Stegostoma tigrinum: one gene and its partner. The protein of the gene in region 2 purifies or fractionates together with the protein of the main gene of each other region. This does not show direct contact. Links are inferred from orthologs where the notes say so. Each region holds a gene or a part of one and is shown on either strand. Other genes may lie near its edges.

Evidence for each region.
Region 1: the proteins of tyrosine-protein phosphatase non-receptor type 14-like (region 2) and protein WWC2-like purify together in Homo sapiens (affinity purification with mass spectrometry, with the first as the bait; 3 studies listed by BioGRID). This does not show direct contact. The link is inferred for Stegostoma tigrinum from reciprocal best matches to the Homo sapiens genes PTPN14 and WWC2.

Annotation. Positions count from the first base shown.
Region 1 is NC_081356.1:115,414,011-115,424,556, reverse strand, and holds the start of protein WWC2-like, read left to right. Parts: upstream 1-3,807; 5' UTR 3,808-4,061; coding exon 4,062-4,189; intron 4,190-10,546. UniProt on the Homo sapiens protein: Regulator of the Hippo signaling pathway, also known as the Salvador-Warts-Hippo (SWH) pathway.
Region 2 is NC_081362.1:57,058,775-57,069,320, reverse strand, and holds the start of tyrosine-protein phosphatase non-receptor type 14-like, read left to right. Parts: upstream 1-5,674; 5' UTR 5,675-5,975; exon of another isoform or gene 5,976-6,227; intron 6,228-10,546. UniProt on the Homo sapiens protein: Protein tyrosine phosphatase which may play a role in the regulation of lymphangiogenesis, cell-cell adhesion, cell-matrix adhesion, cell migration, cell growth and also regulates TGF-beta gene expression, thereby modulating epithelial-mesenchymal transition.

The DNA.
Region 1 (10,546 bases), on a different chromosome or scaffold from region 2:
TCAATGTGGATTTCATAAGCTTCAAAATTTCCCCTCCCCACAATGCATCCCAAGACCAGCCCAGCTCGTCCCCGCCTCCCTAACTTGTTCTTCCTCTCTCCTATCCCCTCCTCCTATCTCAAGTCACACCTCCATTTCCTCCCTACTAACCTCATCCCACCCCCTTGGCCAGTCTGTCCTCCTCAGACTGACCTATCCCCTCCCTACCTCCCCACCTACACCCACCTCTACTGGCTCCATCCCCGCCCCTTTAACTTGTCTGTGTTCTCTCTACCTATCTTCTCCTCTATTCACCTTCGATCCGCCTCCCCCTCTCTCCCTATTTATTTCAGAACCCTTTCCCGATCCCCCTTTTCTGATGAAGGGGCGAGACCCGAAACATCAGCTTCTGTGCTCCTAAGATATTGCTTAGCCTGCTGTGTTCATCCAGCTCCACAGTTTGTTATCAAAGCATTAATGTAGATAGTTTTGACCAGAAACGCATAAGACATCAGAACAGAAGTAGGCCATTCAGCCCATCCAATCTGCGCTGCAACTCAACATGTTCATGGTCTGATAAATCTCCTCTATTCTCCTGTCTTTTTCCCATAACCGTTGATTCTCTTACTGATTAAAAATACACTGAATGAACCAGCCTCACTAGCCTTTTGTGATAAATAAATCTACAGATTCCCCACTTTCTGAGGGAAGAAATTCTTCCTCATCTCTACCTTAAATATGTGAACCCTTATTCTGAGATTACGCCCTATAGTGGAAGACTCTCCCACAAGTGGAAACACCTTTCTGCGATAGAGATAATGGGAACTGCAGATGCTGGAGGATCCAAGATAATAAAATGTGAGGCTGGATGAACACAGCAGGCCAAGCAGCATCTCAGGAGCACAAAAGCTGTGCTTCTGAGATGCTGCTTGGCCTGCTGTGTTCATCCAGCCTCACATTTTACAACCTTTCTGCATCTTCTCTGTCAAGTCCTATAAAAATATTGTATGTTTCAATAAGCTCACCTCCCATTCTTTTATATTCCAACAAGTCCAGGCCCAATCTACACAACCTCTCATCATAAGACAGTCCCTCCTTGCATTCGAGATAATGGGAACTGCAGATGCTGGAGAATTCCAAGATAATAAAATGTGAGGCTGGATGAACACAGCAGGCCAAGCAGCATCTCAGGAGCACAAAAGCTGACGTTTCGGGCCTAGACCCTTCATCAGAGAGGGGGATGGGGAGAGGAGGTGGAATAAATAGGGAGAGAGGGGGAGGCGGACCGAAGATGGAGACTAAAGAAGATAGGTGGAGAGAGTATAGGTGGGGAGGTAAGGAGGGGATAGGTCAGTCCAGGGAAGACGGACAGGTCAAGGAGGTGGGATGAGGTTAGTAGGTAGCTGGGGGTGCGGCTTGGGGTGGGAGGAAGGGATGGGTGAGAGGAAGAACCGGTTAGGGAGGCAGAGACAGGTTGGACTGGTTTTGGGATGCAGTGGGTGGGGGGGAAGAGTTGGGCTGGTTGTGTGGTGCAGTGGGGGGAGGGGACGAACTAGGCTGGTTTAGGGATGCAGTAGGGGAAGGGGAGATTTTGAAACTGGTGAAGTCCACATTGATACCATATGGCTGCAGGGTTCCCAGGCGGAATATGAGTTGCTGTTCCTGCAACCTTCGGGTGGCATCATTGTGGCAGTGCAGGAGGCCCATGATGGACATGTCATCTAGAGAATGGGAGGGGGAGTGGAAATGGTTTGCGACTGGGAGGTGCAGTTGTTTGTTGCGAACTGAGCGGAGGTGTTCTGCAAAGCGGTCCCCAAGCCTCCGCTTGGTTTCCCCAATGTAGAGGAGGCCGCACCGGGTACAGTGGATGCAGTCTACCACATTGGCAGATGTGCAGGTGAACCTCTGCTTAATGTGGAATGTCATCTTGGGGCCTGTGATAGGGGTGAGGGAGGAGGTGTGGGGACAAGTGTAGCATTTCCTGCGGTTGCAGGGGAAGGTGCCGGGTGTGGTGGGGTTGGAGGGCAGTGTGGAGCGAACAAGGGAGTCACGGAGAGAGTGGTCTCTCTGGAAAGCAGACAGGGGAGGAGATGGAAAAATATCTTGGGTGGTGGGGTCGGATTGTAAATGGCGGAAGTGTCGGAGGATGATGCGTTGTATCCGGAGGTTGGTAGGGTGGTGTGTGAGAACGAGGGGGATCCTCTTTGGGCGGTTGTGGCGGCGGCGGGGTGTGAGGGATGTGTTGCGGGAAATACGGGAGACGCGGTCAAGGGCATTCTCGATCACTGTGGGGGGAAAGTTGCGGTCCTTAAAGAACTTGGACATCTGGGATGTGTGGGAGTGGAATGTCTTATCGTGGGAGCAGATGTGGCGGAGGCGGAGGAATTGGGAATAGGGCATGGAATTTTTGCAGGAGGGTGGGTGGGAGGAGGTGTATTCTAGGTAGCTGTGGGAGTCGGTGGGCTTGAAATGGACATCAGTTACAAGCTGGTTGCCTGAGATGGAGACTGAGAGGTCCAGGAAGGTGAGGGATGTGCTGGAGATGGCCCAGGTGAACTGAAGGTTAGGGTGGAAGGTGTTGGTGAAGTGGATGAACTGTTCGAGCTCCTCTGGGGAGCAAGATGTGGCGCCGATACAGTCATCAATGTACCGGAGGAAGAGGTGGGGTTTGGGGCCTGTGTAGGTGCGGAAGAGGGACTGTTCCACGTAACCTACAAAGAGGCAGGCATAGCTGGGGCCCATGCGGGTGCCCATGGCCACCCCCTTAGTCTGTAGGAAGTGGGAGGAGTCAAAAGAGAAGTTGTTGAGTGTGAGGACGAGTTCAGCTAGGTGGATGAGAGTGTCGGTGGAGGGGAACTGGTCGGGCCTGCGGGACGGGAAGCAGCGGAGGGCCTTGAGGCCCTCCTTGCATTCGCCTAGTGAACCTTTGTTGAACTGCTTCCAATGCCTGAGAGAAGGGGCCTAAAATTGTTCACAGTACTTCAACTGTGGTCGAACTTCTGTAGTTTTGGCAAGACCTCCCTTTTGTTTATTCTCCATCCCCTTTGAGGTAAAGGCATGTGACTTCCCTACTGCGTGCTGAACATTGATGTTAACATTTTGGGATTCATGGACCAAATCCATCCATTCTGTCGCTTTCCACATTCTTGCTGGTTCACCCAATGTATAATATTACCTCAGCATTTGGGCCGATTCAGCCAATTCCAGCAGAATCGGAGTAATACAACCAGCAGCAAGTAAGCAGAACTCCAACTGTTTATTTTATGTTCTTACAGATGCTGCTATTGACTCACCTTGACTATAAATGTGAATTTTAACAATATTGCTAACTCCTCCTTTCCCGGTCTCTCTTATGGTCCTGTAACCTTCTGACATATTGACAAAATACCCAGGTCAGATAAGTCTGGAGTAGTTGGCCTCGGACCCTGGCCTCTAGTTGTGTTTCTGAACTCACGCTGCTTCATGCTGGATGCTTTAAAGGGAGGGGGAAATACATTAGTAATGGCTATACATATCGGCAAAGCGGTTCAGTTTTAGGATTGCCTCAGACCAGTGGTTGGAGGTGGAGGGGGGATGGTGGAATACAAAGGTGCATTCCCTCCCTTCAGCTTCATTTACAGAACTCAAGCAAAAACAAAAGAGAAATAAAATAGTTCTCTCGCAGGCACAGATTTAGGAAAAAAAAACAGGCAAGGGCTGAACATAATCAAATGGGCTGGCACATCTGAAATGTGTCTTGTCGGAGGAAGTTGTATTTGGCGGCTGTGCGCCGGCAGTATTAATATTTGATAAGATCTTGAGGGGAGGAATTTGTATGCAAATGAAATAGACGCTAATCCAAGCGACAGCCGAAGCTGTTTTCTGTCTCTCTCTCTCTCTCTCTCGTGGGTGTGTGTTGGGGGGGGATTCCTGGATGGAGTTAAGATGGAGGACCAGATCGTTATAAGGATGTAAATGATCGCAGAGAGGCTTCTTTTTTCTGGGGGGGGCATATTAAAGAAAACATTCCCGCAGCCCCCCACCTCCCTCCCTTCCTTCCTTCCTCCTGCCCGGACTTATGGAGGGTGTTACAACACTACAACATGCATAGGAAAGGCAATGGAGAGCTCCCTTTGCCGGATGGTTGGGAAGAAGCGAGAGATTACGACGGTAAAGTCTTCTACATTGACCACAACACCAAGCAGACCAGCTGGATCGATCCCCGCGACAGGTAGGAGGACAGTTTGCAACACGGGAGGAGAAGGGAACGGGTTCCAGCGCTTGCTAACAGCAGCGAGGCATTTGGCTGTGAGTCCGGACCAGAGCAGCCTGCTCCGGACAACGGGAGCTTGTCTTATACACCCTTCTCATCCCCCCAATAGTTTACCCGACTCCCTGAGTGCTCCCACCAACTTTAATACACCGGGGAGCACACGCGAAATACCAGAATGTTTAAACTCCTGCAGTGCAGATTTCACTGGAATGCTTTGGAATTTTTTTTTTGTTTTGGAGTGGGAGGAGATTTCCTCGTTCAAATCAATTTATTATATCTATTCCCTTCCTCCCCAATATTGCTGTATGTACACCCCCCCTCCCCATCCCGGTGCAGTGTTTGTCCAGGTATCCTGTTGAGGTGGATCGCCGCTTTCTGTGCAGCGATGTGAAGGGGAAGTTTGCAGCAATCTTTCACAACTTTTTTTTCCCTTGGTTGGAGATAAAGATTCCAAAGGGATTTGAAAGTGCCGGCAGTGCGAGGATGTTGTGATGAAGGGTTTTTGTTGTTGTCGTGGTTGTTGGGACATGGCCGAGGAGGAGCTGGGTCTGGTAGTTCACAGGTCACCCAGATCCCAGGGAAAACCGAACAATTCGCTGATGAGGGACAGGGCGATGTCTGGGGAAAGGACATTTGTAAATACGTTAGCAGTTGGATAGCCCCCATTGATAACGGATCCCAACCTCCTTTCCTCCTACTTTTGTGCTGGCTGGGAGCTTTCTCTCCGTTTTCACTGGGTTCTGGAACCTTTGGGCCCCATTCCCCTCTCCCCATTCATTCTTCTTCTGTCCAACGACTCCCTCCCCTCCTACTCCATTTCCTTCACTTTCTTCCTCGCTCATCCCTCAGAACCCTGCCCTCAGCCTCCTTTCTCTCCAATTTCCTCACCAACCTGCCTCCTTTTCCTCTCTCCCCACTCCATTTTGCAGCCTCCAGCAATCTTTCCCTTCCTCCCTCACATCCCCATTACCACCTGCCCCCCCACCCACCTCACCCCCACCTTCATCTCCCTGTCTCTACTCTCCTTCCTTGCTCCATATACTCTGCCTCACGTCTCATACCATCCCTCTGGTCCTGCATTGCTCCCCTCCCTCCTCCCTCCTCTCTTCCTCCACCTCTTCTCCCTCATTCTTTTCCATCTCTGTCTTACTACCCTTCCACTTTATTCCCCTGACTTTCCACTTTACCCCTCCTTCTCCTGTCACTCCTCGGCCCCTTAACAATCTCTCCCTCTTCCTAACCCTTTGCCTCTCTTCTATCCCACTATGTCTCCTCTTTCCTGCCACCTCCAGACCTCTTAACCCCTCCTCACCATCCTTCTCAGTCATCAACCCTCCTCCCCCTCTCCATCCTCAATCCCCACACTCTTCTCTGCCCCCTCTCCGTCCACCCCCACAAACTCCTTTTTCCATCCCCCCAACCCTTCTTCCCGCCTCCTGTCCATCCTTCCCCACAATGGGACCAAGTTACTTTCCTGGCCTCTGGGCCCTGCCATCATGCACTGCTGGACTGAATACGGGTAGGAAGTCAGAGCTGCTGGGCGGTGGGGGAGTAAAACAGTCAAGGAAGACGTTTTCAGAGATAATGGGAACTGCAGATGCTGGAGAATCCAAGATAACAAAGTGTGAAACTGGATGAACACAGCAGGCCAAGCAGCATCTCAGGAACACAAAAGCTGACGTATCGGGCCTAGACCCTTCAGTGCTCCTGAGATGCTGCTTGGCCTGCTGTGTTCATCCAGTTTCACACTTTGTTATCAAGGAAGATGTTGTGGCGGAATGGGACAGAGTTGATGGGAGATAGTAAGAACTGCCGAAGCTGGAGTCAGAGTCAACACAGTGTGGAGCTGGAGGAACACAGCAGGTCAGGTAGCATCAGAGGAGCAGGAAAGTTGACATTTCGGGCCTGCTGGAACACAAGCTGAAAGTGAGAGGCTAATATTGCTGAGCTGCCAGACCTGCTTTCCCTGAGTGTGAGGGTATGGTATTCCTAGCATTAAGAAAGTTTCATTTACAGAACCAAAACTTTGATGCAAATGGAGATGAGCATATCTGATAAATAATTGGTTTGAAATTTTAATTCCCTGCAGTTTGAGTTGAATGAAATGGATCACTCGTCACTTTGTTTGCAGATTTCTATCTCGGATTGATAGTTGGTTGTTACTGTGATGATGTGAGTTCCTTTTTATTTACATGTATGAATACTTGGGCCTCGCGAAGTGCTGCTGGTTTCATGCAAATTGTTGCTTTTGAGACTTTCATTAGAATGTTGCAATTGGCATTCTCTGAACAGTCAGTTTACAAGGTCAGTTGTGGCACAGTGATATGTCCCTACACTGAGCTGGAGCCCTGGCTTTAAGACCCACTGGTTCAAGAGGTGTTTAATAACATTGCTGAACAGGTTGATTAGAAAACAGAGACAATAAGGTGTCGAGCTGGATAAACGCAGCGGGCCAAGCAGCATCAGAGGAGCAGGAAAGCTGACGTTTTGGGTCTGGACCCTTTCTGACAAAGGATCTGCTGTGTCCATCCAGCTCTATACCTTGTTCTCTCAGATTCTCAAGCATCGGCAGTTCCTACTAGCTCTTGATTAGAAAACAGTTGTTTTTAAATGGCCCTGTGGATAGGCAGCCACTTCTGGCTCCCACCCTGGACTCCCAGAGTGCCACTTTGCACTTTGAAACTTTCAAAGGCTGTTCATTGCTCTTGGAAAATACAACACTTCCAGGTGTCCCCACTGTCGTCAAAGCTCGGTGCAAGCACAGCAGTGTGGTATTTCAAAGTTTGTGGGTAGTGGAGTTGAGATTTCCAGTTGTTTTGTTATTGCTGAACGTGAATGCTCCATTTCGTGGTTGGAGAGGGAAAGTCAATGGGACCAGTTGTTTGCTTCTGCATAAGAAAGTTTTCGAGTCTGTGCCCCACTTCCAGAGACTTGAGCACAACATTGACAGTGGTGTCACACAGTTGGAGCTACCACCCTTGGCATAGGTCATCCATAGCACGGTTTTGCAGAGTAGGGAGCATTGTCTTGATGTCTAAGTCAACACTGCCAAAGTCGCTAAACAGGCTTAAGTGGCTTAGCATGGTAAATGATGAGACAATGTTTCCCCTCATTGGAGAGTCTAGGACCAGAGGGAATTGTCTCAGAATAAATATGTGCCAATTTAAGACTGAGATGCAGAGGAATTTCATCTCCCAGAGGATTATGAGTCTTTGGAACTTCTTGCCACAGTGAGCTCTGGGGGCAAAGTCATTGTGTATATGTGTGGCTGAGGTAGATAGATTCTTGATCAGCAGGGTTACGGGGAAAAGGTAGGACAGTGGATATGAGGAATGTCAGATCAGCTGTGATCTTATTGAAAGATGAAGCAGATTTGATGGGCCAAATGGCCTACTCCTGTTCCTGTTTCTTATGGTCTTAAGGTTGTTATTGCATTGGTGTGAGGTCTTGCTATGCCCACGTTGGCCACCATTTTTCCTGCATTGCAACAGTGCAACATTGTAGCACTTCAAGTATACTTTGGTGATTGTGAATGATTTCGGAACATCTTGAAACTGTGATATATACTGTGTAATTGGAAGAAACACAAAAAATGCTGGTGAAACTCATCAGGTATGGCAGCCTGACAAAAGTACTATTGCACTCAAAATGTTAACTCTGTTTCTGTCTCCTCAGATGCTGCCAGACCAGCTGAGTTTCTCCAGTACTTTGTCTTTTTAGTTCAGATCTCCAGTATCTGCAGTGTTTTATTTTCATTTAAATTTACAAATGGAAATTTTTCTTTGGGTTTCAGTCTGATGTGTTCTGAAGCTAGATTTCTCTGGCATATAGACTTGTTGCTCCTTGGTCACCAAGTTGTAAATTCAGAATTTCTGAAGGTTTTTGAGCCAATTGTACTCTACGTGGTTGGCCATTTCTGTGTCTAGTTTACTCCCTTTTTGCAAAGGTCATCTGACAAATTGATCTATTGAGTTCTCATTGCTTAACTTTGAGATAGATGCTGCTTACTGGGATTCACTTTGTTCATGAAGATCGTTTTCAATCTGAATTGTGCTTTTGTGCTGATGGGTCAGTGAGTAAATGTGATATAAATTGTGGAGCTGAGCCATATAGTGCCAGAGTGAGGCATCTATTTTCAGTGCTTGGGGAAGGTGAAACTCAACCTTTAAAAGGCAGCAGAAAAATCCCAAAAACTGTTACAAATTGTGCTGATAATTGTTGGATTATAAACTGCATTTTATGCCATCTTTGTTGTTGTGTGGACTCCAGGGATCAGTTTTTGTGAGCCACTTCCAGCAATTGCATGGCCAAATCCAGTACACATTGTCGAGAGTTCTGTTGAGATGAACACTGCTGTTCGACAATCATCGGGAGACATTGAAGCAGGAAAAAGCAATTCAGTTGGAGTGTCCTTTGGCTTTCCCATTTCACAGAGAGTGGCTGGAATCTGGTATTCTTAGCCCAGTGACAACAGCAACAACAACTGTATTTAAATGGTGTTTTAGCACAGCAAAAAATCCTGAGGATGTTCACAACTTGATGCTAAGTATCAGAAGGAGATATTAGGACAGGTCGAAGTGGCCACTTTTACTGAGTATTTTAAAGGAAAGAAGAGAGGGAGGAAGGTTTAAGGAGAGCTGTCAGCAGTTCACCATGTAGACAACTGAAGGCACAGGCACCGATGCTGGAGCAGTAGAAGCCAGAGACATGCAAGATGTCAAAATTGGATGATCTCTGAGGGTATTGGTGCCAGAACCGATGACAAAAATAGCAAGAAGTAAGGCCTAGAACAAGGATGAGAAGTTTAACACTGAAGTGTTGCTAGACCAAAAGTGCAGGAACACAGAGGATGGTGGGTGATTGGGGCCTAGTGTGAGCTAGGATGAGCTCAAGTTTAATGGAGAATGCAAAATGGAGAGCTAGCCATGACAACACTGGAATAAAGGTAATAATAATAGTAATCCTGTGGTAATAAAGGCAAAGAAGAGGATTCAGCAGTAAATAAACTGAACAAAATACTTCGATAAGCAACAGCGTGTGGAGTGTCAGTGGAAGTATGTCTTACAGTTCATGGAAAATGAATTGAAGCTATTGTCAACCGGATCAGAAAGGTGCAGTCAGAGGGTACTTTTTAAAAAAGTGTTTTTCATGTGGGTTGTGGGATTCTTACAAAGCTGTTAATACATATTAGAGTAGCAGGTAAAATACAGAAGCATTGCACCTGTTATCCATTGTCAATGAAAGAAAGTCGGGCTTTAGGTAGCAGGATTACACAACTGTAATCACACTGAAGTAGATGGATTTAGCACCGTACCAGTGGTGGTGCTCTGATGCATATTTATTTTAATGGCATTGTATTTATTATTTTGTAAGATGGTAGTGAAAAGAACCCATGGAGATGAGAAAATGTCTTGCAGCCAGTTGTTATGATTTGGAATGCTCTGCCTGAAAGCATGCTAGAAGCAAATTCACTTGTAACTTTCAAAAGAGGATTGAATACATGTGAAAAGAAAAATGTCAGGGCTATGGGAGGCAGAGGAACTGGGTTATATTAGCTGTTTCTAAGAACCAGTATAGGTATAATGGGGTGGATGGCCTCCTTTATGTGGATCAAAGGAAGATTTAGTGATGTAGCACCTCTCATAATCCACAGGGACTCCGAAAGCTCCTCACAGTCAGCGAAATACTCTTTAAAATGGAGTTGCTGTGGTAGGAAACAAACTGATCAATTTATTTACAGCAAGGTGCTATGAACAGCAATGTGATCATGGCCAGATCATTTTTTTGTGTGTAAAGTTGATTGAAGTCTAAATATTGGACATTGGCAATAATACCTCCACTGTTAATCGAGATGTTCTGATACAGTGCATTTTATGTAAGCCAAGGTGACACACAAACTATCTTATGTGAGAGATGGCACTCGCTCAATATTTCACTGGAATAATACCTAGACATTTTGTGATCATGTCCTGGAGTGAGACTTGAACCTATAACCTTTGAGAATTCAAAGAAGGTACCAAAGATAGCCACAGCCTCATTATTTTGTTAAGGAATATCAAAAATGTCCTGAGCACAAAAGTCTGCAGAATTATTTGTGTCTTAATTCAGCAGTCACACTGATGCAGTCATGCCTGTTAAATCAATAAGTTGATTGGTGTATGCACTAATTTATGTACAGAGAAGATGACTAAGTAAACCAAATTCTGATTTTAATACATAGACTTGCATGACCTTTTGCTACTATTATAGTCTGTTATTAAACCTTTGTTTATTTTGTGAAAACTAATCGGACTGACAATTGTTTGTTCATTTAAA
Region 2 (10,546 bases):
CACTTGTTCATTCCACAAACAGTTTCAGTCACACAGTCCCTCCGAACCGAATTCTGGTCTCTTTCTTTCAAGGACTTAGCCAATTTGCCACAGGCAACACACAGTTTTTGTCTTCTCTTTGTCTCTCTAGTCTAGTCTATGTACACTAAACCATCAGGCTTCTGCAGTACCTTGTTTTATGGCTGAGAATTAAGTCGAAGGATAGTGACCTCTCCTGAAAATTCAAAGAACAGGAAAGTCAACAGTCCTGATGAAGGGTCCTGACCTGAAATGTCAACATTCCTGTTCCTCTGTTGCTGCCTGACCTGCTCTGTTCCTCCAGCTCCACACTATATTGACTCTGATTTCCAGCATGTGCAGTTCTTCCTACCACCTGAAAATTATATGGGCAGCCCCAAAATTCCATGGACTTTGATTCTGGTACATCCTTCAGAATTGTACCTTCCAACATCCATTGATTCTAAACTTGCTGGAGAATGCAGTCAATAAGAAAGTATCCAATTATCTTGGGCCTGTTGTCACGCATGCTGCACCAGGTACATCTTAAGCATCTGCCTGTACTAAACAATTGTGAAATCTGTTTTGGTGATAGGTCCAATGTGAATGACTGGTGCTCCTAGAAATATTCAAAATAGGGTCCAAGCCTGTGCTTCTGTGGCTTGATGACCTATACTGATCCCTGATTATGCCAGCAGGAAGATTATGCACTTTGCTTAGGATAACAGGATGGAAATATTTTTAATTCCTGAAGATTGATTGTATGTCAAACCTGTAGCATTAGGTTTATGGTGACATGAAGTATCTAAAAACAAAATCAATGTAGTCCCAGAATTTATTTGCATTCTATATTGAATTTACATTTCAGTAAATGTCATATGACTCATTTACTGTGTCTGTGATCTGTAATTGTTTAAAAATTTATTATTTATGCCATTGTATCTTTATTATTTATGACAATGTATCTTCCTCTGTTAAATATGTGTAAAAATAAGTCTCTTTTCAGTGGTTACCTAAGTCCTACAAGCGATTGAATAAAATGTAAATTATAAAATAACATACAAGATGTATTTTTGTGTGCTATTAAATGCTGTCAAGTGTACCACTAGCAAAAAAGGTCAAGAATACAGAAAAGAATATAAAGGAATATAGAGGTTGAACTTCTGAGAGTTTTACTGATCGTCCACTATAACTGTGATACAGTAACATTTCACTGGGATTTACTCAGGGCCTTTGCAGATCCCTCAGTAAATGTATTTATCTGAAAATTCGTATGGAAATTCACACTACTTACATCAGTAACTACAGTGAATCCTTTCTTCAAGAGAAGTTTGTAAGTCACCCAATCACAACCTGTCCTAATCACTGTGAAACATCTCACCGTCCACCCCGCTTTGTGTTGTCTGCAAGCTTACAAATATTTATTTCCTTCAACTTAATCAGCAATATCTGCTATGAGCTCCTGGGGTCCAAGAATGCTGTCAGGGTACAGCAGTTATTATGGGTGACTTCAATCTACATATAGATTAGGCTAACCAAACTGATAGTAATGTGATGGAGGAGGATTTCCTAGAATGTATGACCAACATGTCAAGGAACCAATGAGATAGAGAGCCATCTTAGACTGGGTATTGTGTAATGAAAGAGGATTAATTAGCAACATTGTCGTACAACATCCTTTTGGGAAGATTAGCTATAATATGGTAGAATTCTTCATTAATATGGAGAGTGACACAGTTAAATCTGAGTCTAGGGTCCTCAAGTTAAAGAAAGCTAACTTTGATGGTATGAGGCATGTATTGGCTAGGATAAACTAGGCAAGGGTACTTAACAGGTTGATGGTGGATAGACAATGGCAGACATTTAGAGAACACATGGATGAACTTCAACAATTCTACATCTATGTCTTGACTTATCACAGATCATATTTATCTCTTCAGTATGGAAACAGGCCCTTCTGCCCAACAAGTCCACACTGAACCTTAGAGCATCCAACCCAGACCCATCCCCTTATAACCCACCTAACACATCCCTGAACACTATGGACAACTCATCATGGCCCATCCATCTAGCCTGCACTAGGACATTTTGGACTGTCGGAGAAAACTGGAGCACCCGAAGGAAACCCATGCAGACACGGGGAGAATGTGCAAACTCCACACAGGCAGTCACCTGAGGCTGGAATCGAACCTTGGTCCCTGGCACTGTGAGGCAGCAGTGCTAACTACTGAGCCACCGTGCTGCCCCAATAAAGGCAAGTGTCCCTATTGCCTTCTTAATTACCCTATTAACCTGCTCTGCCAACTTCAAGGATCTGTGTTCAAGCATCCCAAGATCCCTCTGTTTCTTATGAGTTTCCTTCAGTGCTTTGTGTCTTGTCACTTATTTTAATGTGCAACACCACACACATATCAGGGTTAAATTCTATCTGCCACAGATTTGACTAAACTGTCTATATCCTCCCAAAGCTCAAGACCTTCTACCTCATTGTCAACCACCTGGTCAATTTTTACGTCATCTGCAAACTTACTTATCATCTTCTCTGACATTTTCATTTACATCATTTATATATATATATAAAATCAAAAATCAAGAGGGGACCCAGCCCCAATCCCTTGGTACATCAGTGGACACTGGCCTCCAGTCACATAAACAGTCTTCTCCCAACACACTCTCTCTCCTGACACTTAATCCAATTTTGGAACCAACTTGCTAAGTTACCCTCTTTATCAGTCTCCCATGTGGAACCTCGTTGAAAGTCTTAACTGGAATTTATGTTAATTATATCAACAGCACTACACTCATTTACATACTTGGGCAGCTCATCAAAAAGTTCAGTTACATTTGTTCAGCATGACCTCTTCTGACAAAACCATGCTGACTACCCCTGAGCAAACCTTGCTCTCTAACTGGAGATTAATCTTTTTTCTTCAGAATTTTCTCAAAAGTTTCCCTATCGTTGATGTGACGCTTGCTCATGAGCACTTCACTGTTCTATTGCTGTACTATTCTTGACAGGTGAATGAGCTGTCTTCCAGTCCTCAGGCACTTCTATGGCCAAAGAGGGAGTAAAAAATTGGGTCAGGGCCCTGTGATTTCCTCCTTCAGAAAATAATTTCATGAAATGTAAATTCATGTTTATGGAGGTTTTTTTTCATAAATCCTATACAGCAATGAATACCCACCCCCTTCTTTATCAAAAGTATTTCCAGCACTTATCTGCCCCTTTTATTGGTGTTGGCAGTGGCTCATATAATATCCTAAACTGTTTACCACAACATAGAGAAATAGAGGAGAAATTAAAGAAGACAATTTAAAGCATCAACAATCAAACTTATCAGGGCCTTCAAAGGTAGTGTGTAAAGTACAAAAGCAAAGACATTGAGAAGTGAATTCCAAAGTGCTGAGGTAATGGCTCTACTATTGTTGATTGAGATGTGGACAGAAAGTGACAAAGTAAACCAGAGTCAGAAATATGGAGTCCTGCACATTGTCCCTACAAAACAGTTGGCTGAAGACTCAGGGTAACAAAGTGTGGGGCTGGATGAACACAGCAGGCCAAGCAGCATCTTAGGTGCACATAAGCTGACGTTTCGGGCCTAGACCTTTCATCAGAAAAAGGGGATGGGGAGAGGATACTATCCCAACAGACAGCATATCGCATTCTCCTGTCACACTTGTGGTTAGTGAACAACATTGGTTTCTGACATGGAAAGAGCCCAATTTTAGTTTTCTCACCACTATTTTCAAATCCATTCATGGTTTTGCTCCCTTTATTTCCAAAAATTCTTCAAACATATGACTCTCTGAGATCTGTATACCTGTACATCTCCAATTCTCACTACTTGCACACTCTCAATTTTCATCAGTCATACCTTCAGGTAGCTGAGCCCTAACCTCCCAAAAAATCTTTGTTTTTCCCTTTCTTTAAAATCCCCTCCAATCTCCCACTAGGATAAAGATTTTCGTCAGTTGTCTAAATGTATCAATGCATTCCTTAGTGCCAAATTTTATGCGATAACACTTTCAATTTAGTGCACTGCGATTACACTGGAGGAGTTATTCAAATTTAAAATGTTTTCAATGTTTCAATTGGAATATTTTTCATGGGAAGCCTTCTGGATGAGCTTAGCTAAATTGGAACTCAGGATTGTAAAATAGGCATTCAAATAGAATGAGTACTGACTGAGATTTAAAGCATGGAAGTAAGAAAGATTAAATAATATTGATGGTAAAATGTGAGGCTGAATGAACACAGCAGGCCAAGCAGCATCTCAGGAGCACAAAAGCTGACGTTTCGGGCCTAGACCTTTCATCAGAAAAAGGGGATGGGGAGAGGATACTATCCCAACAGACAGCATATCGCATTCTCCTGTCACACTTGTGGTTAGTGAACAACATTGGTTTCTGACATGGAAAGAGCCCAATTTTAGTTTTCTCACCACTATTTTCAAATCCATTCATGGTTTTGCTCCCTTTATTTCCAAAAATTCTTCAAACATATGACTCTCTGAGATCTGTATACCTGTACATCTCCAATTCTCACTACTTGCACACTCTCAATTTTCATCAGTCATACCTTCAGGTAGCTGAGCCCTAACCTCCCAAAAAATCTTTGTTTTTCCCTTTCTTTAAAATCCCCTCCAATCTCCCACTAGGATAAAGATTTTCGTCAGTTGTCTAAATGTATCAATGCATTCCTTAGTGCCAAATTTTATGCGATAACACTTTCAATTTAGTGCACTGCGATTACACTGGAGGAGTTATTCAAATTTAAAATGTTTTCAATGTTTCAATTGGAATATTTTTCATGGGAAGCCTTCTGGATGAGCTTAGCTAAATTGGAACTCAGGATTGTAAAATAGGCATTCAAATAGAATGAGTACTGACTGAGATTTAAAGCATGGAAGTAAGAAAGATTAAATAATATTGATGGTAAAATGTGAGGCTGAATGAACACAGCAGGCCAAGCAGCATCTCAGGAGCACAAAAGCTGACGTTTCGGGCCTATCATCTGATGAAGGGTCTAGGCCCGAAACGTCAGCTTTTGTGCTCCTGAGATGCTGTTTGGCCTGCTGTATTCATCCAGCCTCACATTTTATCATCTTGGAATTCTCCAGCATCTGCAGTTCCCATTATCTCAAATAATATTGATGGCTTTGTTTTTAGGGCTAAGGCGAGTTGAGTCAAAAAGAGAAGAAATATGTAGGTGGATCTACTTGGTCATGCAGTCCTTCAGCCATCGGAAGTCTGGAGCTATATAAATGCAAGCTTAAAGTCAACGCCTTTAAAGTCCAGCATCACCCACATGGTGTCGCTCGTGAGCTGGTCTGAACAAGTAAGTGTCATCGTTCAGTGGTATATCCACATAGCATAACAATCCCACAGCTCGGTTAACGAACTGTGTGAATTCCCAATGAAAGAAAATGCATTGCTGCAAGAATTCATTACCTGGTAGGTGTTCAATGCAGTGTACTTTTAATGTATAAAGAGCGCAATGTTGATTTTAATCCGGCCAAGAGGAATCGTGCAGCACACTGTTAAGAGAGCAATCCCCCAACCGATTACGCTAAAATATTGCATGGGCAAAGTAACCAAATCGATTACATAGCTAAAGTGTTGCAGTACAGCTTTAAATCGACGTTGCCTGGGTGTGTTTTCGGTGTGTGACCATTAAGAAGCAACGACATCTCAGCCCTTCATCAGCTCACATTCCTCACATTCCACATTTCTGATGTCACGAGGCGCAGATCTTTTTTTCCAAACCCACAAACTGTGACCATGTTATTTAATCGAAAATAGTCTCGGCTGCAAGGGGACGACTAGGAAAAAAGAAAGGAGGGAGGTTAAAACAAAACAACTTGGCGATCACAAAGGCTCTCGGACCGCTGGCAGCTGCTGAAGAGTTCAGAATAGCAAACAAGAAAGTGGGCAGAAAGAAAGTTTCACCAAACAAAAGTAGTTCTTGAGCGGATGAGGTAGGGCTCTCCGTGTAACTTCAAACACTTCTGGTGAGCAGACGGACCCTGGTCCCGCGGTCCTTTAGACGAGTGGATCCTTTATCCAGAAAGGGATTTTTGTGCTAGTTTCTGCTTGTGGAAACTTTTCTCCTCCCCCCCCCCCCAACTCCCCAAACAAGAAAGGAAGAAAACACGTTGGAAAGTTTGAAGGGACGCGTGCAGTTTGTGGTTTTAATGGACTGATCAGACACAATAAAGACATGTAAACAGGTAAGGGAACTGGAGATCCTAAGTCCAAGAGCTTGCCTATTTGATTGACTATAGAAAGATAGATATACCAGAGAAGCATAGCCTTTTGATCCAAGATTTCTACTTGTCCTTGAGTGGTTTGTAGGAGTAAGTCAGACATGCCGATTAAAGGGAGGTTGTCTGCCTTACTCTCCGGCTCAAATGCCAGCATTCCTCGACAGCCCCCTTTTTTTCCAACCGCCTTGATGGTGAGGGGAAGGTCCAAGCCAAGGTATGACAGCGAGTATTTGTTTAGATTCAACTCTTCACAATACAATTCCTATAACAGAAATCTATGGCCCGCCCTCCAAGGAGGCTAACTTCAGCCTGTACTTTGTTGCAGTATATTTAAAGAGACCGTCTCGCGTTTCGGTGGCTAGGCTGACTAATGAAATAATTGTGAAAATGCCATCTCTGCCGAAATTCCACACTTAAAAGATGCTTTACTGGAATAAACGCTTTGCAAAAGTTTCCAGACTGTAGTGTAAACTGATAGATGAAGGCGATGACTCTTTGTGTGGGAGACAAGGGTTAATTTCTTTTACTTAATCATAAGGAATTGCATTGTTCAGATGAATTCTCAAAATATGAAAGCAAAATTTTAAATAAGAATATGATTTTTAAGTGCATTACTTGAATTTTGACGTTGGATCGTTGCTCAAATTTGTCAAAATATGGCTTTTTGTTCCAAGTTGGCTTCTGCATTGTTGCGATTCTGTTTTCTGATTGAAGTACCGTATTGGAAACAAAAGATGGTGTTGACTTTGAGAAGACAGTTCACTTAGTGAACGCATCTTGCAATAGAATTTGCAGTTTTACCATTTAATATTAACACTTGTGTAAAAAATTGGAATATTTGTATAAAGTTTTGAATGAAGCCTCCAACTATATTTTCATATTTATTAAATTTTACATATTTTCAATGTGCCTCTTCGAGCAGACTAAATTTGACAACATTTAGTTACAGCAGTGTAAACAATCTGATCTGAATTCCCATTTGTCACTGATCCACATTATGGACTAATCAACTATAAACTCGCAGTTTTGAAGCATATGACCTATAGGTATGCTGGAGTTCAAATTTGGGGGAAATCTGTGGCATAAACACCAGACGAAATCAACCTTGCATTAATGTTGTCACATTTTTCAAGAAGATCCAGCAGTTTAATGAATCCTAGACTTGCACTATGGTAACTCTGCTATGAAAAGCAATAGGAATTTTGGACTGAAGCAATAAAATCAGGAATAATGGACAATCTGATTATTGTTTATATATTGGAATTATGTTTGTTACAGAAGTGTGGAGATAACACTACCTCTTAAATAAACCTGTTATGATATCAGGTTATGTTTACCACGCTGTTGGATGACCTTAGCTTTGATTAATGTTCACTGTTCAAAACCAGAACCCAATATCTTCAGCTCTTCTTGGCTTTCGTTTAAAGTCTAAGGGATCCAAAACATTTGACAGAAATATATTACTGTAAGTTGGCTGCATTACAATGGTGACTACACTGCAAATGTACTTCATTGCTGTAAATCGCTGAGATGTCTACTGCACATGGAAAGCACAATATCATTGCATGTCATTCTTTTAATTTTATTTTGAAAAAATGAATGTTCAATGTAATCCTTTTTAACCAATTTGAATATATAAATATTTCCTCAATTTTCAGATTTTTATTTAACGTATTTTCACCTAATCTCATGCCTGCAACTGAAATTGTGTACAAAGTCAGTTTGTAGCCCATCACTAATACAACTGCCAGTCGGCATTAGAGACCACACAGATGTGAGTCCCTAGTCATGCTGTGTCCCTCTGTTACTTTCTCATTGCTGAGTCATAATCCCAATGCTCCCCCCTTAACAATACTGTGGGCATATCTACACCATATGGACTGCAGTGGATTAACAAGGCAGCTCACTACCACCTGCTTATGGACTATTGATGAGGTAATAAATGCTGGCCTTGCCAGACTGTATCCTGTGAATGGATATTTTAAAATAAAAGTTGCACTCAGCTGCAATCTCCTTTTGATGGGTTTCACGGTGATGCTGTGTCTACCTGTTGGGCAGTTGCAAAAAATCCCATGGTACAGTTCAAAGAAGACCTTATTTTCGAAGCGTCTGCTAGATTTTCGATATTACAAAAATGATTAAAATTTGAAAAGCATGTAATTGACATTGCAGAGTTTTGGGATGTTCTAAGGTCGTGAAAGGCATGATAAAAATGAAAATAAAAGCAATATACTGTGGATGCTGGAGATCTGAACTAATTTAAAAAATGTGTTGGAGAAAGTTAGCAAGTTTAGCAGCATCTGTGGAGTGAGAAGGAGTCAACAATTTAAGCCCCACGGCTTTTCTTCCGAACTCTTCTGCCCTGAAGAGTTATATTGTGCTCAAATTGTTAACTCTGTTTCTCTCTCTACAGGTGCTGCCAGGCCTAAGTTTCTCCAGGACTTTCTGTTGATTTAAAAATGCAAGTTCTTCAGATGATGTTAACTGGTTCTACATTTATTACTGAATTCTAGATGTCTTGATAAGGCATTGGCAGGTCTTTTTAAATTGTTACGTGGTGGTGTTCCTCCAGTGAAGCCAGCCCTGTCCAAAGTGCCTAATCACAATGCGAATTTTATTTGATTTTGTTTAGAACAATTGAATACAGTTTTGTGATCTATTGACAGTTCAGTAAAATGCCAATTAACTTTTCTGAAATTATATTTACATGCACATTTGTTTTGTGTGTATCGGGTGTGATGCCCTTCAACAACTGTTTTTAAAAAAATGAACTTGGATTTGTCCGGCAACTTTCGTGATCTGTGCACCTCAAACTGCCTTAAAATGAACAAAGTATGTTTAAAGTGCAGTCACTGTTGCAGTGTAGTGAACCTAGCAGGCACTTTGCATCCAGCAATCTCCCACAAAGAACAAATGTGATAAGACCCACGTAAAAATGGTAATAGAAATGAGCCAAAACTCAAAATAAAATTTCTTCTCCCTGCATCCTACAACATTTTGAGACCCTCAGTTCTCTAATATACTAATTCTTGCCTTTTTTGAGAATTTCTGATTCGAATTGATTTTTTTGGTAACTATGCCTTTGCTTGAAAAGCCCTAAACTCTGGACTTCAATCCAGAGCCTGTTTTTAAGTCATTCCTGCTTTGAATTGCTGGCAGAAATTTGGCTTTTTGTTTCCAATATTTTTATTTGTTTGTGCTTGATTTGAATCAAGACTGACAGCACTTTCTGTGTTGATGAAAGAAGGTGGCAAATTTGCATTGCCCAGGTGTGGGCAAAAAGGGTGCTGCCAGCCTTTGTAAATCACTTGTCTAAATATTTGAGTAAACAGAAGACTGTCTCATGTGCTGGTTTCCAATATCCACCATAGTCAATTTAAATATTCTGATGAAAATTTTAGCGCAGAATAATATCATTGACATTGCCTTTTGTTTTGAATGCAGCCATTGCTTTGCAAGCTGGATTTTCAATGTTATTGTGGACTGCAGCATCTGTCTTGGCTGTGTTGTGAAATTGTGTAGATGCTGACACAATTTTAGACTCTGTTTTCAGGTTGTAATTGCCTCACATAGGTCAGTTCTAGGGAATGATTGGACAAAAGTCAGATGATAGTAATTCACACTGAATTACAGAGTGATGAAGTTAATTTTTATTTTAAAAAAAACTCTGTTTCTACACCCTTTTGGGATTTTACATATGATTAGTAGGCACTTTTTTCACAACTTTGGTGCACATGCCTATTCATTTTCTGTATGTAGTGATTGACTGAGAGCCGACACTTGCCTGTGAATTTTGAAATTTATTTGTTTTCATGAGAAAGCAGAGGTCCCTTTTGGCTCTGTGGCAACCTATTTGTTTTAGAAGCACTATTTAACTTGCAGGTGGCAAGTCACATTTACAAGTGATGTTTATTGCAACTGATTTTGCTGTTTTAGTTGCATGCAAGTAAATCCTGTTTAGCAATTTCAGATCCAAACCAATTCCATTCCATCCTTTTGAAATGTCAGGATTACAATTTTATTTTAAACTTTTAATAAAATGAGCATTAATGTATTCATTTCAAAACCAATTGATGCTGATTCACTCTATTAAACTGACTGGTTTTATTCTGCACATTGTTTGAAATTAAACTCCAGAACAATGTAATAGAAAAAATACAAACTTGCCTTTCTGCGAAATAATCGTGCACAAAAATAAAGTATGCAAATGATTAAAATACTAAATTTGAAACAAATTTAGACTTATTTTTCAAATGTTTACGGTAACAATGGATTTATGTATG